Linked DNA regions of Struthio camelus. The protein of the gene in region 1 purifies or fractionates together with the protein of each later gene. This does not show direct contact. Links are inferred from orthologs where the notes say so. Each region holds a gene or a part of one and is shown on either strand. Other genes may lie near its edges.

The links.
Region 2: the proteins of vasodilator-stimulated phosphoprotein-like (region 1) and PFN1 purify together in Homo sapiens (affinity purification with western blotting; 3 studies listed by BioGRID and IntAct, with this or other methods). This does not show direct contact. The link is inferred for Struthio camelus from reciprocal best matches to the Homo sapiens genes VASP and PFN1.

Annotation. Positions count from the first base shown.
Region 1 is NC_090957.1:1,486,693-1,494,670, forward strand, and holds the start of vasodilator-stimulated phosphoprotein-like, read left to right. Parts: upstream 1-4,814; 5' UTR 4,815-4,870; coding exon of another isoform or gene 4,871-4,899; 5' UTR 4,900-4,924; coding exon 4,925-5,237; intron 5,238-5,470; coding exon 5,471-5,534; intron 5,535-6,152; coding exon 6,153-6,193; intron 6,194-6,305; coding exon 6,306-6,529; intron 6,530-7,008; coding exon 7,009-7,121; intron 7,122-7,204; coding exon 7,205-7,265; intron 7,266-7,564; coding exon 7,565-7,610; intron 7,611-7,792; coding exon 7,793-7,838; intron 7,839-7,978. Other genes in the region: homer protein homolog 3-like, read left to right, coding at 2,909-3,086, 4,241-4,814, 4,871-4,899. UniProt on the Homo sapiens protein: Ena/VASP proteins are actin-associated proteins involved in a range of processes dependent on cytoskeleton remodeling and cell polarity such as axon guidance, lamellipodial and filopodial dynamics, platelet activation and cell migration.
Region 2 is NW_027182728.1:91,374-98,647, forward strand, and holds the start of PFN1 (profilin-1), read left to right. Parts: upstream 1-4,166; 5' UTR 4,167-4,280; coding exon 4,281-4,412; intron 4,413-6,439; coding exon 6,440-6,632; intron 6,633-7,274. Other genes in the region: ENO3 (beta-enolase), read right to left, coding at 150-207. UniProt on the Homo sapiens protein: Binds to actin and affects the structure of the cytoskeleton. At high concentrations, profilin prevents the polymerization of actin, whereas it enhances it at low concentrations. By binding to PIP2, it inhibits the formation of IP3 and DG.

The DNA of each region.
Region 1 (7,978 bases):
GTGAGTGGGGTCCTCAGGCAGCCCTCCCCACCCCCCTCGGGGCACCCGTGGGTGCCACCACCCCCCTCGCTGCCCGGGTTTCCCCACAGGCGCCAGCCGGGCGGCAGCACCCTTGGGTGCTCTTTGCCCCCGCGCCGGCCTCAACTTCCCCTTCCCGCCCCGGGTGCCCCACGGTGGGGGGGGGTGGGGGGGGGTGCAGGAGGGGGCACCCACTGCCTGCTACTGCACCCCCCGACCCCTATCCTGCAGCAAAGCATGCTGGGAAACTCCCACCGATGCCCACCCTGGGGGGGCCCAGGTGTCCGGGTGGGGACAACCCCCTGCCCAGCACGGTGTTTTGGGGGGGGGCACCCATGGGTGCTGGTCCGGCCGCGCGGCGGCACCAAACTTGCCCTTATTTGGTCACTGCCGGCGCGGCCCCCCCCCCCCCGGCCCCACGATACTTCCTGCCCCACAGTGTCCCCCCCCCCAGCACCCCAGGGTGCACCCGGGGCACCCGCTGGGGCCTTGAGGGGGGGGCCCAGGCGTCCTGGCGGCCCCCCCACCCTGGGGTGTCACAGACTTCGGTGACTTGTTCCCCCCCCCCACCCCATCCTGCGCCAACCCGGATGTCCCAGCTCCTGCCCTCGGGAAGGGGGAGGGGCACAGCTCGGACGCCTGGGCCCTCTCCGCACCCGGAGGAAATGGGGGAGGGGGGGAAGGGGGCAGGGCCCGGACGCCTGGGTCCCCTGCTGATAAGGGGAAGGAGTGGGGAGGGGTGGGGTGGGGGGGAGTATGGGGGGTGCTTGTGGTTTGGGTGCCTGTCCTGGCGGGGGGGGGAAGCACCCAGGGGTGCCCCATGGCCAGCCTTGGGGTCGCCCCATGTCCCAGGGGTGCCCCACACCCAGGGGTGCCCCATGGCCAGCCTTGGGGTCGCCCCGTGTCCCAGGGGTGCTCCACACCCAGGGGTGCCCCATGGCCAGCCTTGGGGGTCCCCATGTCCCAGGGGTGCTGCATGGCCTGCTTTGGGGGTGCCCCACACCCAGGGGTGCCCCATGGCCAGCCTTGGGGGTCCTCATGTCCCTGGGGTGCCCCATGGCCTACTTTGGGGTGCCCCACACCCAGGGGTGCCCAATGGTCAGCCTTGGGGGTTGCCCCATGTCCCAGGGGTGCCCCATGGCCAGCCTTGGGGTCGCCCCGTGTCCCGGGGATGCTCCACACCCAGGGGTGCCCCATGCCTGGCCTTGGGGGTGCCCCTTGCCCAGCTTTAGGGGTGCTCCACACCCTGTAGGTGCCCCCTGCCCAGCCCTGGGGGTGCCCCACACCCACTAGTTGCCCCATGCCTGGCCTTGAGGATGCCCCACACCCCATGGGTACCCCTTGGCCGGCCCTGGGGACACCCCATGCCTCGTGGGTGCCCCCTGCCCAGCTTTAGGGGTGCCCCACACCCCGTGGGTGCCCCCTGCCTGGCCTGGGGGGTGCCCCATGCCCCGTGGGTGCCCCCTGCCCAGCCTTGTGGGTGCACCCTGCCCAGCCTGGGGGGACACTCGGCCCCCCGTGGGTGCCCCCTACCCAGCCTTGGGGACACCCCATGCCCCGTGGGTGCCCCCTGCCCAGCTTTAGGGGTGCCCCACACCCCGTGGGTGCCCCTTGCCCAGCCTTGAGGATGCCCCGTGCCCCATGGGTGCCCCCTGCCCGGCCTGGGGGACACCCCACACCTCATCGGTGCCCCTTGCCCAGCCTTGGGGATGCCCCATGGGTGCCCCTTGCCCAGCCTTGAGGATGCCCCGTGCCCCGTGGGTGCCCCCTGCCCATCCTGGGGGACACCCCGCACCCCATGGGTGCCCCCTGCCTGGCCTGGGGGGTGCCCCTTGCCCAGCCTTGAGGATGCCCCACGCCCCGTGGGTGCCCCCTGCCCAGCTTTAGAGGTGCCTCACGCCCCATAGGTGCCCTCTGCCTGGCCTGGGGGGTGCCCCACGCCCTGTGGGTGCCCCCTTGCCCAGCCTTGGGGACACCCCATGCCCCGTGGGTGCCCCCTGCCCAGCTTTAGGGGTGCCCCACACCCCGTGGGTGCCCCCTGCCCAGCCTTGGGGACACCCCACGCCCCGTGGGTGCCCCCTGCCCAGCTTTAGGGGTGCCCCACACCCCGTGGGTGCCCCTTGCCCAGCCTTGAGGATGCCCTGTGCCCTGTGGGTGTCCCCTGCCCGGCCTGGGGGACACCCCGCACCCCATGGGTGCCCCTTGCCCAGCCTTGGGGACACCCCATGCCCCATGGGTGCCCCTTGCCCAGCCTTGAGGATGCCCCATGCCCCGTGGGTGCCCCCTGCCCAGCTTTAGAGGTGCCTCACGCCCCATGGGTGCCCTCTGCCCGGCCTGGGGGGTGCCCCACGCCCCATGGGTGCCCCTTGCCCAGCCTTGGGGACACCCCACGCCCCGTGGGTGCCCCCTGCCCAGCTTTAGGGGTGCCCCACGCCCCGTGGGTGCCCCCTGCCCAGCCTTGGGGACACCCCACGCCCCCTGGGTGCCCCCTGCCCAGCTTTAGGGGTGCCCCACGCCCCGTGGGTGCCCCCTGCCCAGCCTTGGGGACACCCCACGCCCCCTGGGTGCCCCCTGCCCAGCTTTAGAGGTGCCTCACGCCCCATAGGTGCCCTCTGCCTGGCCTGGGGGGTGCCCCACGCCCCATGGGTGCCCCTTGCCCAGCCTTGGGGACACCCCATGCCCCGTGGGTGCCCCCTGCCCAGCTTTAGGGGTGCCCCACACCCCGTGGGTGCCCCCTGCCCAGCCTTGGGGACACCCCACGCCCCGTGGGTGCCCCCTGCCCAGCTTTAGGGGTGCCCCACGCCCCATGGGTGCCCCCCGCCCGGCCTGGGGGAGCACCCGGCGCCCCCCGGGCGGGTGCCGGGGCGCTGAGGCCGGCGGCCGCCCGCAGCGAGACGGTGGTGTGCAGCGCCCGGGCCACGGTGATGCTCTACGACGACGCCAACAAGAAGTGGGTGGCGGCGGGCGGCGGCCCCCAGGCCCCCAGCCGGGTGCAGCTGTACCGCAGCGCCGGCGGCGCCCCCCCCGCCTTCCGCGTCGTCGGCCGCAAGCTGCAGCCCGACCAGCAGGTGCCACCGCCGGGGGGGGGGGGCCGGGGGGACCGCCGGGGGGCTGGGGACATCGGGGGGGGGCTGGGGACACTGGGGGGACTGCCGGGGGCCTGGGGACACCAGGGGGCTGGGAACACTGGGGGGACTGCTGGGGGGCTGGGGACATCGGGGGGGGCTGGGGACACTGGGGGACCGCCGGGGGGCTGGGGACATCAGGGGGGCTGGGGACACCGGGGAGGCTGGGAACCCTGGGGGACTGTTAGGGGGCTGGGAACATCGGGGGGGGCTGGGAACACTGGGGGACTGCTGGGGGGCTGGGGACATCGGGGGGGCTGGGAACACTGGGGGACTGTTGGGGGCTGGGGACATCGTGGGGGGCTGGGAACCCTGGGACACTGGGGGGGCTGGGAACACTGGGGGACTGCCGGGGGCCTGGGGACACCAGGGGGGCTGGGAACACTGGGGGACTGTTGGGGGGCTGGGGACATCGGGGGGGCTGGGAACCCTGGGACACTGGGGGGGCTGGGAACACTGGGGGACTGCCGGGGGCCTGGGGACACCAGGGGGGCTGGGAACACTGGGGGACTGCTGGGGGGCTGGGGACACTGGGGGGGGGCTGGGAACACTGGGGGACTGCTAGGAGGCTGGGGACACTGGGGGACCGCCGGGGGGCTGGGGAGCGGGGGGACTGCCGGGGGGACCGCTGGGGGGCTGGGGATGCCATGGGGACCGCTGGGGAGGTGGGGACTGCTAGGGGGCTGGGGACCGGGGGGACCGCTGGGGCTGGGGACACCACAGGGACCATCGGGGGGTTTGGGGACACCCCCAGGGCCTGGGGATGCTGGGGGGACCACTGGGGCTGGGGACACTGGAGGGACCGCAAGGGGTGGCTGGGGACACCACGGGGACTGGGAGGGTGGGGACACCAGGGACACTGCCAGGGCTGGGGACACTGGGGGGAACACCAGGGCCAGGGTTGGCTGGGGACACCGGGGACACTGCTGGGACTGAGAGGGTGGGGACGCTCTGGACACCCCTAGGGCTTGGGGACACTGGGAGGACTGTTGGGACTGGGGGGCTGGGGACACTGTCTGTGGGGTCCCCAGCTTGGGGGTCAGAGCTTGGGGGGGGGGGGACCTGGGTATCGAGTGACCTCGGTGTCCCCCCCGAAGGTGGTCATCAACTGCGCCATCGCCAAGGGTCTCAAGTACAACCAGGCGACGCCGAGCTTCCACCAGTGGCGGGATGCCCGCCAGGTCTGGGGACTGAGCTTCGGGTCGCGCGAGGACGCCACCCTCTTCGCCACCGCCATGCTCCAGGCCCTGGAGGTGCTGGAGGCCGGTGAGCGGGGACGTGGGGACACCAGGGAGGTGGTGGCACGGGGTGACGTCCCCCAGGGTTGGGGACTGAGCTTCGGGTCGCGCAAGGACGCCACCCTCTTCGCCACCGCCATGCTCCAGGCCCTGGAGGTGCTGGAGGCCGGTGAGCGGGGACGTGGGGACACCAGGGAGGTGGTGGCACGGGGTGACGTCCCCCAGGGCTGGGCACTGAGCTTCGGGTCACGCAAGGACGCCACCCTCTTCGCCACCGCCATGCTCCAGGCCCTGGAGGTGCTGGAGGCCGGTGAGCGGGGACGTGGGGACACCAGGGAGGTGGTGGCACGGGGTGACGTCCCCCAGGGTTGGGCACTGAGCTTTGGGTCGCGCGAGGACGCCACCCTCCAGGCCCTGGAGGTGCTGGAGGCTGGTGAGCGGGGACGTGGGGACACCAGGGAGGTGGTGGCACGGGGTGACGTCCCCCAGGGCTGGGGACTGAGCTTCGGGTCGCGTGAGGACGCCACCCTCTTCGCCACCGCCATGCTCCAGGCCCTGGAGGTGCTGGAGGCCGGTGAGCGGGGACGTGGGGACACCAGGGAGGTGGTGGCACGGGGTGACGTCCCCCAGGGCTGGGGACTGAGCTTCGGGTCGCGCGAGGACGCCACCCTCTTCGCCACCGCCATGCTCCAGGCCCTGGAGGTGCTGGAGGCCGGTGAGCGGGGATGTGGGGACACCAGGGAGGTGGTGGCACGGGGTGACGTCCCCCAGGGCTGGGGACTGAGCTTCGGGTCGCGCGAGGACGCCACCCTCTTCGCCACCGCCATGCTCCAGGCCCTGGAGGTGCTGGAGGCCGGTGAGCGGGGACGTGGGGACACCAGGGAGGTGACACCGTGGGGTGGCATCCCTCAGGTTGGGGGGTGGGGGGGGTCTCAGCTTTGGGTTGTGCGAGGACACCAGGCTCCTCGCTGCCACCCTGGAGGTGGGTGAGCACGGATGAGGTGACACCCGGGGGTGGCCCACTGTGACGTCCCCCCAGCCTGGGGACGTCCCCGGGTGCTGCTCTGAGCTCTCGTCCCCCCCCGCCAGCCCCCGCTCAGCCCTGGCCCGTCCCCAACGGCCCGTCGCTGGAGGAGCCGGAGCAGCAGCGGAGGTAGGAGCCCCCCAAGGGCACCCTGGGGTGCTCATTCCCCCCCCCGAGACCCCCTGCATGTGGGGGGGGCTGACTTGGGGGACACAGTGGCTGTGGGGGGGTCTGTGGGTGCTGACTTGGGGGTCAACATGCCCTGGAGGGGCGCGGGTGCTGGCCTGGGGGTCAGGGTGCCCCGGGGGGATCTGTGGGTGCTGAGTTGGGGGTCAGGGTGCCCCTGGGGGACCACAGGTGCTGGCCTGGGGGTCAGGGTGCCCCAGGGGGGTGCATGGGTGCTGACTTGGGGGTCAGGGTGCCCCGGGGGGGGCCACAGGTGCTGAGTTGGGGGTCAGGGCACCCCCGGAGGGGTCCGTGGGTGCTGAGTTGGGGGTCAGGGCATCCCCGGGGGGGCCACGGGTGCTGACTTGGGGGTCAGGGCACCCCAGGGGGGGCGCGGGTGCTGACTTCGGGGTCAGGGTACTCCAGGGGGGTCTGTGGGTGCTGAGTTGGGGGTCAGGGTGCCCTGGGGGGGCCGCGGGTGCCGACTTGGGAGTCAGGGTGCCCCAGGGACATCCATGGGTGCTGACTTGGGGGTCAGGGCACCCCGGGGGGGGGCACGGGTGCTGACCCCTCTCCCCGCAGGCCGGCGCCGGAGGAGCTGGAGCGGCGCGTGGCCGGCGCAGGTGGGTGCCGGGGAGGGGGGTGACATGAGCCCACCCCCCCACCCAAAAAACCCCCCACGGGGAGAGGGGGGCCAGCGTGGGTGCCCCCCCATGAGCCACTCTCCCCCCACAGGTGCCCCGGCCCTGCCTGCGGGGGGGCCTCCGCCGCCCCCCGGCCCCCCACCACCCCCGGGACCCCCGGGGCCCCCCCCGCCTCCCGGACCCCCCCCAGCTGCCGCCGGGGTCCCGCCGGCACCACCCCTGCCCGGGCCCGCGGGTGCCCCCGGGGGGGCGTCCGGGGGGGGCTCCGGCTTCGCCGCCGCCATCGCGGGGGCCAAACTCAGGAAAGTCGGCAAGGTACCGGGGGGGGGGGGGGGAATTACCCCTGGGGGGGCAAAATGGGGGGGGAGCTCTGCGGTGGGGGGTAATACCGTTTTGGGGGCAGTTCCCACGGGGGGGGGCAGCCCCTGGGGGGTAATACCTGTTTTGGGGGTAGTTCCCATGGGGGGGGGCAGCCCTGCAGGGGGATAATACCCATTTTGGGGGCAGTTCCCACGGGGGGGGCAGCCCTGCAGGGGGGTAATACCCATTTTGGGGGCAGTTCCCACGGGGGGGGCAGCCCCAGGAGGGTAATACCTGTTTTGGGGACAGTTCCCATGGGGGGGGCAGCCCCTGGGGGGTAATACCTGGTTTGGGGGCAGTTCCTATGGGGGGGAGGAGGGGCAGCCCTGCAGGGGGGTAATACCCATTTTGGGGGCAATTCCCAGGGATGATTGCAGCCCCGGGAGGGGGAACAAATCCGGGGGGGGGGTCGCGCTCACCCCGTTTCCCCCCAGCAGGATGAGGCGCCCGGCCCGGCGGTGGCGGCAGCAGCACCCAAGGGCGATGGCACCCGCGGGGGAGGCGGGGGGGGCCTCATGGAGGAGATGAGCGCCATGCTGGCCCGACGGTGAGGGGGTGCCGCATTGTGGGGGGGGCGGTGACGCAGGTTTGGGGGGGGGGACACTGCGCTGACCTCCCCCCCCCCCCCAGGAGAAAGGCCACGCTGCAGGGGGACAAGCCAGCGCCAAAGAGGGACGAGGACGCCGGCAGCGTGAGTGCCCCCCCTTGCCGAAATACTGCTTTGGGGGTGCCCCCCCATCCCTGCGCTGCCCCATTGCCCCCCCCCCCCCCCCCGCTGAGTATTGCTCCTCTCCTGGGGGCTCCCTGTTGCCCCCATCTGGTATTTTGGGGGGGGGGGGGGGATGGCACCTCTCTCTCTCTCTCTCCCAGTTAATCCCATTGTCCCCAGCTGGTGCGGATCCCCTTGTCCCCCCCCTCCAACCTGGCTACCCGCCCCCCCCCCCCCGGTAAATACCCCGCCGTGACCCCTTTTTTTGCCCCTCCCCACAGGACGACGCGGAGCCAGCGAGCACTAGGACCGCGGGGCAGTCCGCGGGTGAGTGCGGAGGAACTACGACTCCCAGCATGCCCTGCCGCCGCGGCGCGGCGCAGAGCCTGCTGGGAGCTGTAGTCCCGAGAGAGGAACGGGTTTTTTTTGGGGGGGGGGAGGGTGGTGGGTGGCTGCGCCCCTGAAGGGGGGGCTCTGCCTCCCCCTCACCCCCTGCTCTCTCACTGCAGAGCCCATCCGGAGGCCGTGGGAGAAGGCCAGCACCACGCTGCCCCGGTGGGTGCTGGGGGCAAAGGGGTGCCAGGGGGGATTTGGGGGACCCGGGGTGTAGGGAAGGGAGTTAGGGGGTGCTGGGGGGATTGAGGGTGGCCAGGGAGGGGGGATTGGGGGTGCCCAGGGTGTAGGGAGGGGGGTGT
Region 2 (7,274 bases), on another chromosome or scaffold:
GCACCCAGGCGTCCGGGGGGGGCCCAGGCGTCCGGGTGGCCCCGCTCTGCACTATAGACCCCGCTACCCCCAGGGGTCCCAGGCATCCGGGGGGTCCCAGGCGTCCGGGCACCCCACAGGGACCCAGGCGTCCGGGCGCTGCTGCTCACTGGTGCTGGTTGGGCTCCGAGTGACCCCGGGGGGTCCCCGAGGGCCTTTTATGCCCATCCCCTGCCCCCGCCTCCCCCAGGGACCATCTGCAAACGCGGGACCCAGGCGTCCAGGGCCCAGGCGTCCGGGTGGGCTCGCCCCTGCCCCACCCGCCAGGCCTGACTGCCCCCCCGGGGGCCCAGGCGTCCGGGGACCCCCGCTCTGCCCCGCTGCCCCCCCCAGGGGGTTCAGGTGTCCGGGGGGGCCCAGCTGCCCCCCTCCCCCACCAGGCTTCGCAGCCCCCAGGGGGCCCAGGCGTCCGGGCGCTGGTGGCCCTGGTGGCACTTTGCGATGGTCCCTGCCCCCCCCGGGCTATTTTTAGCCCCCCCCAAAGGTCGGAGCTCGAGGAAAGGACACGGTAACTCGAGACGCCCGGACGCCTGGGCCCCCGTGGGCTGGGAGCAGCCAGATGCCTGGGTCCCCCCGAGGCTGCCCGGACGCCTGGGTCCCTGGAGGATGTGGGGGGGGGAGCACCCGGATGCCTGGGTCCCCCTTGGGCTGGGGGCACCCGGACACCTGGGTCCCCCCGGGACTGGGGGTACCCGGACGCCTGGGTCCCCTGGAGTTGAGGCTGCCCGGACGCCTGGGTCCCTGGGCGACTCCTGGGCCCCACCGCACGGGGGCGCCCGGACACCTGGGTCCCTGGAGGATGGGGGGGGGGGAGCACCCGGACGCCTGGGTCCCTGGAGGATGGGGGGGGGGGGAGCCCCCGGACGCCTGGGTCCCTGGGGGGGGGAGGGGGACGCCTGGCGGCTGTGCTGGGAATGGCACCGGTCCTATGGGATCCATAGGGGATGGGGGGAGGGGAGGGGCCCTGCGGGGTCTATAGGGGCCGGGGCCCTATAGGGGAAACGGGAGGGGGGAGATGGGCCCCGTGGGGCCTATAGGGGACGTTGGGGGGGGGTCGGGCCCTATGGAGCCCATAGGGCAGGGGGAGGGGGAGGGGCCCCGGCTCCGCTCGCTGCTAAAAACCCACTTCCCGGGGAAGTTCCCACAGCGGGGCGGGGGCGGGGCGGGCCCGGACGCCTGGGCCCCGGGGGGGGCAGGGCCCCTGGACGCCTGGGCCCCCGGACGCCTGGGCCCCGGGGGGGGCCCCGGATGTCTGGGCCCCGGGGGGGGGCAGAGGGGCCCCCGGACGCCTGGGTCCCTCGGCCAGGACGAGCTGGTTTCCTGCCCCCCCCCCATTTCCCATGATGCCCCGGGTTGGCGTGAGCGGGGGAGGGGCCGCGGTGGCGACACTGCTGGGGGAAGTTCGCAGCGGGGGGGAGGGGCAGGCGCCCGGCTGCCTCCGACCCCCTGGTCCCCCGGACGCCTGGGTCCCCAGGCAGGCGCGGGGTCCAGGGCCCGCTGCCCGGACGCCTGGGTCCCCCGGACGCCGCCTGCCCCCAGCGCCGGCGCCTCGGCCCCCTCCCCCGCCCGGGACAGGAAGTGAAACCGCCGCCCCTCCCCCCCTCCCCCCCCCGGAAAGTCCCCGCCCGGGGCTGACTCAAAGCAGCCGGGAGATATGGGCCGATGCATGTGCGATCGCACACGCGTGTGCACGGGGCGGGGAGCGCGGCGGGGGGGCATCGCACGGGGGGGGGCGTTGCACCAGGAGTTGGTTTGCTCTGGGGTTGCGCTGTGCTGGGGGGCTCATGGCGCGAGGGGTGGGTTGCACCAGGGGTTGCAGTGCACGAGGGGTGCGTTGCACCGGGAGTTGGGTGCGTTGCACCAGGGGTTGCAGTGCACGAGGGGTGCGTTGCACCGGGAGTTGGGTGCGTTGCACCAGGGGTTGCATTGCACGAGGGGTGCGTTGCACCGGGAGTTGGGTGCGTTGCACCAGGGGTTGCATTGCACGAGGGGTGCGTTGCACCGGGAGTTGGGTGTGTTGCACCAGGGGTTGCAGTGCACGAGGGGTGCGTTGCACCGGGAATTGGGTGCGTTGCACCAGGGGTTGCATTGCACGAGGGGTGTGTTGCACCGGGAGTTGGGTGCGTTGCACCAGGGGTTGCAGTGCACGAGGGGTGCGTTGCACCGGGAATTGGGTGCGTTGCACCAGGGGTTGCAGTGCACGAGGGGTGCGTTGCACCGGGAGTTGGGTGCGTTGCACCAGGGGTTGCAGTGCACGAGGGGTGCGTTGCACCGGGAGTTGGGTGCGTTGCACCAGGGGTTGCACTGCACGAGGGGTGCGTTGCACCGGGAGTTGGGTGCGTTGCACCAGGGGTTGCACTGCACGAGGGGTGCGTTGCACCGGGAGTTGGGTGCGTTGCACCAGGGGTTGCATTGCACGAGGGGTGCGTTGCACCGGGAGTTGGGTGCGTTGCACCAGGGGTTGCAGTGCACGAGGGGTGTGTTGCACCGGGAGTTGGGTGCATTGCACCAGGGGTTGCAGTGCACGAGGGGTGCGTTGCACCGGGAGTTGGGTGCGTTGCACCAGGGGTTGCAGTGCACGAGGGGTGCGTTGCACCGGGAGTTGGGTGCGTTGCACCAGGGGTTGCATTGCACTGGGGCTGCACCACACGGGGGGCTGCATTGCACCGGGGGGGTGTCGCACAGGGGCCGAGGCGCCGCACGGCCTGTGCGTTGCTCCATGCTGGCACGAGGACACGCATGTCCGGGGGGCTGCGTGTGACACGGACACGGGGGTCCCGGCGCAGGGAGCTGGGGAGGGGGCCGCGAAGAGGTGCAACGCGCCACCGAGGGCGACGCCGGGGGGGCCGTGGCGGCAGGAAACGTGGGGTGTCACCCGCAGGGAGGGGCCGTGCAAAGGGGGGTGCGGAGGCCGGGGAGGGGTGCAAGGGGGGGGGCGACGTGCAGGGGCGTGCAAGGCGCGGTGATGCCCGCGGGTTGCACGGCACGAGGAGGGTGCAACGCACCCGGCTGCAAGGCCGGGGGGTGCGATGCACCCGCGGGTGCACACAGCACAAGGGTGCCGCACCCGGAGGGGCTGCTGGGGGGGGGGGGGGCGTGCGCACGTGTGCGTGCAACGCTCGAGGGGGGCGGGGGGGCGGGAGGGAGCTGCAGTGCCCAGATGTTGCGTGTGCGACGCCGGAGGGATGCAGTGCACGGGGATGCACTGACTGGTTTGCATGTGCAATCCCCGGGGGGGGGTGGGGGGTGCACATCTGTGCGTGCGTGTGCGCTTGTGTGTGCGTGTGCGTGTGTGCGCGTGTGTGTGTGCGCGTGTGTGTGTGCGCGTGTGTGTGCGCGTGTGTGTGTGTGCGTGTGTGTGTGTGCGTGTGTGTGTGTGTGTGCGCAGTGTCTGCACACGTGTGTGCACGTGCACGGTGCCCCGGGGATGCAACACAGGTGGATGCAACACCCGGGCTGTGCGTGTGCAGTGCACATGGATGCAATGCTGGGGGGGGCAGCGCTAGCAGGTGCAGTGCTGGGTGTGCAGTGCCCGGGGGGGGGGTGCAGCACCCGCTGTGCAGTGCCTGCGGTGCAGTGCCCATTATGCAGTGCCGGGGGGGGGGTGCAGTGTCGGGGGGGGGCAGTGTCTGAGGTGCAGCACCCGTCATACAGCGCCCCTTGTGCAGTGCCCGGGGGGGGGGGGGTGCAGTGCCCGGGGGGGGGGGTTGCAGTGCTGGGGGGGTGGGTGCAGTGCTGGGGGGGGGGGGTGTGCAGTGCCCGGGGGGGGGGGGGCAGCGCCGGGGGGGGGGGGAGTGCAGTGCCCGGGGGGGGGGGGAGTGCAGTGCCCCGGGGGGGGTTGCAGTGCGGGGGGGGGGGGGTTTGCAGTGCCGGGGGGGTTGCAGTGCCCGGGGGGGGCAGTGCTGGGGGGGGGGCAGCGCCTGTCGCCCAGCGCCCGCCGCTGCCCGGGGTCGCTCTGCCGCCGCCGCCGCCGCCGCCGCCGGGCGGGCTGGGGGGGGCGTGTCCCGCGGCGGCCCCGCCCCCTGCGGGCGAGCCCCGCCCCCTGCGGGCGAGCCCCGCCCCGCGGAAGCCCCGCCCCCGCCGCGCGGGGCTATGAAAGGCGGCGCGCGGCCCCGCCGCGGGGCCCCGTCTCGCGCCCGCCGCCCGCTCCGCGCACGCGCCGCCGCCGCCGCCGCCGGCCCCGCCCCCGCCGGCCCCGCCCCGCCCGCCCGGCCCGCGCCGCCGCCGCCGCCGCCGCCGCCATGAGCGGGTGGGCGCCCTACGTGGAGAGCCTCATGGCGGACGGCACCTGCCAGGACGCCGCCATCGTCGGCTACAAGGACACGCCGGCCGTCTGGGCCGCCACCCCCGGCAAGACCTTCGCCAACATCACGGTGGGGCCCGGGCGGCGGCGCCGCGGGGGGGCGGCGGCCGTTGGGGGCGATTCCGCGGCGGTCCCGGGGCGCGGGGTGTCCCCGGGCCCCCCCGCCGGCCCAGGCGTCCGGCCCCCCCCCCCGCCCGCCCGCGCCGCGGCCCCCCCGGGCCGGGGGTCGGGCCCGGCCCCTCCCCCCGCCGGCAGGAAGTGACCGGGGGGAGGGGGGGCCGGATCCTGCCCATCCCCCCCATCCCATCCCCTTCCCCCCCCCGGCCCCAATCGGGACAAAAAAGGGAGAAAAATGCGTCCGGGAGCGGCCCCGGCCGCTGCCAGCGTGGCCCGGCCCCCCCCGCCGCCGGGGAGGGGACCCAGGCGGCCGGGCCGCGCGGGGGGGCCCAGGCGCCCGGGCCGCCCCCCTTCCCCGCTCCAGCGGGGGGCCCGGGCGCCCTTTACCCCCTCCCCTTCCCCAGCCACCCCCGGTTTGGGGAAGGAGCCCCGGCGTCCGGGCTGCGGCGAGCACGTGGCGGAGGGGCTGCGGGGGGGCCCGGACGCCTGGGCCCTCTGCCCGCCCGCCGAGGGGTCGCCGGTGTCTCCCCCCTCCCCCCGCTGAGAAAAATGCGCGGAATGTGGCAACTTCCCCCCGGCGGGGGAGGGGCGGCCGGGGCTTCCTGTGGGGGAGGGGAGGGGGCGCCTGGGCCCCCCGGGGCGGCGGGCAGAGGGGTGCCCGGGCGCCTGGGCCCCTGGCGGAGGCTGAGGGAGCTCCCGGACGCCTGGGCCCCCGGCAGGGCGTTGGGTGGGGTCCGGGACGCCTGGGCCGGCGCGGCTGGGGATGCCCCGGACGCCTGGGTCCTGCCTGTGGAGGGTGCCGGGGCGGGCGCCCGGACGCCTGGGTCCCTGGAGGAGCTGGTGCTGGTCTGGGCTCTTGGGCGCCCCGGACGCCTGGGTCCCCGGGGGGGTGTCAGGGCGGCTCACGGTGCTGCCCCGGACGCCTGGGTCCCGAGGAGGGGTGTCAGGGCGGCTCACGGTGCTGCCCCGGACGCCTGGGTCCCGAGGAGGGGTGTCAGGGCGGGCTCACGGTGCTGCCCCGGACGCCTGGGTCCCCGGGGGGGTGTCAGGGCGGCTCACGGTGCTGCCCCGGACGCCTGGGTCCCGAGGAGGGGTGTCAGGGCGGGCTCACGGTGCTGCCCCGGACGCCTGGGTCCCGAGGAGGGGTGTCAGGGTGGCTCACGGTGCTGCCCCGGACGCCTGGGTCCCCGGGGGGGTGTCAGGGCGGGCTCACGGTGCTGCCCCGGACACCTGGGTCCCGAGGAGGGGTGTCAGGGCGGGCTCATGGTGCTGCCCCGGACGCCTGGGTCCCCAGAGGGGTGTCAGGGCAGGCTCACGGTGCTGCCCCGGACGCCTGGGTCCCGAGGAGGGGTGTCAGGGCGGGCTCACGGTGCTGCCCCGGACGCCTGGGTCCCCGGGGGGGTGTCAGGGCGGCTCACGGTGCTGCCCCGGACGCCTGGGTCCCGAGGAGGGGTGTCAGGGCGGGCTCACGGTGCTGCCCCGGACGCCTGGGTCCTGAGGAGGGGTGTCAGGGTGGCTCACGGTGCTGCCCCGGACGCCTGGGTCCCCGGGGGGGTGTCAGGGCGGCTCACGGTGCTGCCCCGGACGCCTGGGTCCCGAGGAGGGGTGTCAGGGTGGCTCACGGTGCTGCCCCGGACGCCTGGGTCCCGAGGAGGGGTGTCAGGGCAGGCTCATGGTGCTGCCCCGGACGCCTGGGTCCCAAGGAGGGGTGTCAGGGCGGCTCACGGTGCTGCCCCGGACGCCTGGGTCCCCGGGGGGGTGTCAGGGCGGGCTCATGGTGCTGCCCCGGACGCCTGGGTCCCCAGAGGGGTGTCAGGGCGGGCTCACGGTGCTGCCCCGGACGCCTGGGTCCCCGGGGGGGTGTCAGGGCGGCTCACGGTGCTGCCCCGGACGCCTGGGTCCCCGGGGGGGTGTCAGGGCGGGCCACGCCCCCCCGCCCGGACACCTGGGTCCCTGACGGCGGGGGTCGTGGCCCGGCAGGCGGCGGAGGTGAACGCGCTGGTGGGGAAGGACCGGAGCAGCCTGCTGGTGAACGGGCTGACGCTGGGCGGGCAGAAGTGCTCCGTCATCCGCGACTCGCTGCTGGTGGAGGGCGAGCACAGCATGGACCTGCGCACCAAGAGCGCCGCCGGCGCCCCCACCTTCAACATCACCGCCACCGTCACCAACAAGAGTGAGTGTCCGCCCGGGCCCCTCGCGTCCCCCCCGTGTGCGCTCTGCGCCCGCCCCGGGCACCTGGGCCCCTCGTGTCACCCCCACGTCCCCCCTGTGTGCGCTCTGCGCCCGCCCCGGGCACCTGGGCCCCTCGTGCCACCCCCACGTCCCCCCTGTGTGCGCTCTGCGCCCACCCTGGACACCTGGGCCCCTCACGCCAACCCCGTGTCCGCTCTGCACCCGCCCCGGGCACCTGGGCCCCTCGCGCCGCCCCCGTGTCCGCTCTGCGCCCACCCTGGACACCTGGGCCCCTCACGCCGCCCCCGTGTGCGCTCTGCACCCGCCCCGGGCACCTGGGCCCCTCACGCCAACCCCACGTTACCTCCGCATCTGCTCCACACCATGCCCGAACGCTTGGGCCCCTCTGTGCTGCCCCTGGGTCACCCCCGCACCTGCCCCGGACGCCTGGGTCCCTCCATCCTCCCTGCTGGGTGCTGGATCCCCTCCCCTCTGCTCGCTCCTCCTGGACGCCTGGGTCCCTTTCCCATCCCCTCCCCCCTCCCAGCTCCCTGTTGCTCTGTCCCCGGATGCCTGGGTCCCTGGGTCGCTTCCCCATCCCCCCCGGATGCCTGGGCCCCTCTGCCCCCCCAGCTGTTGTGAG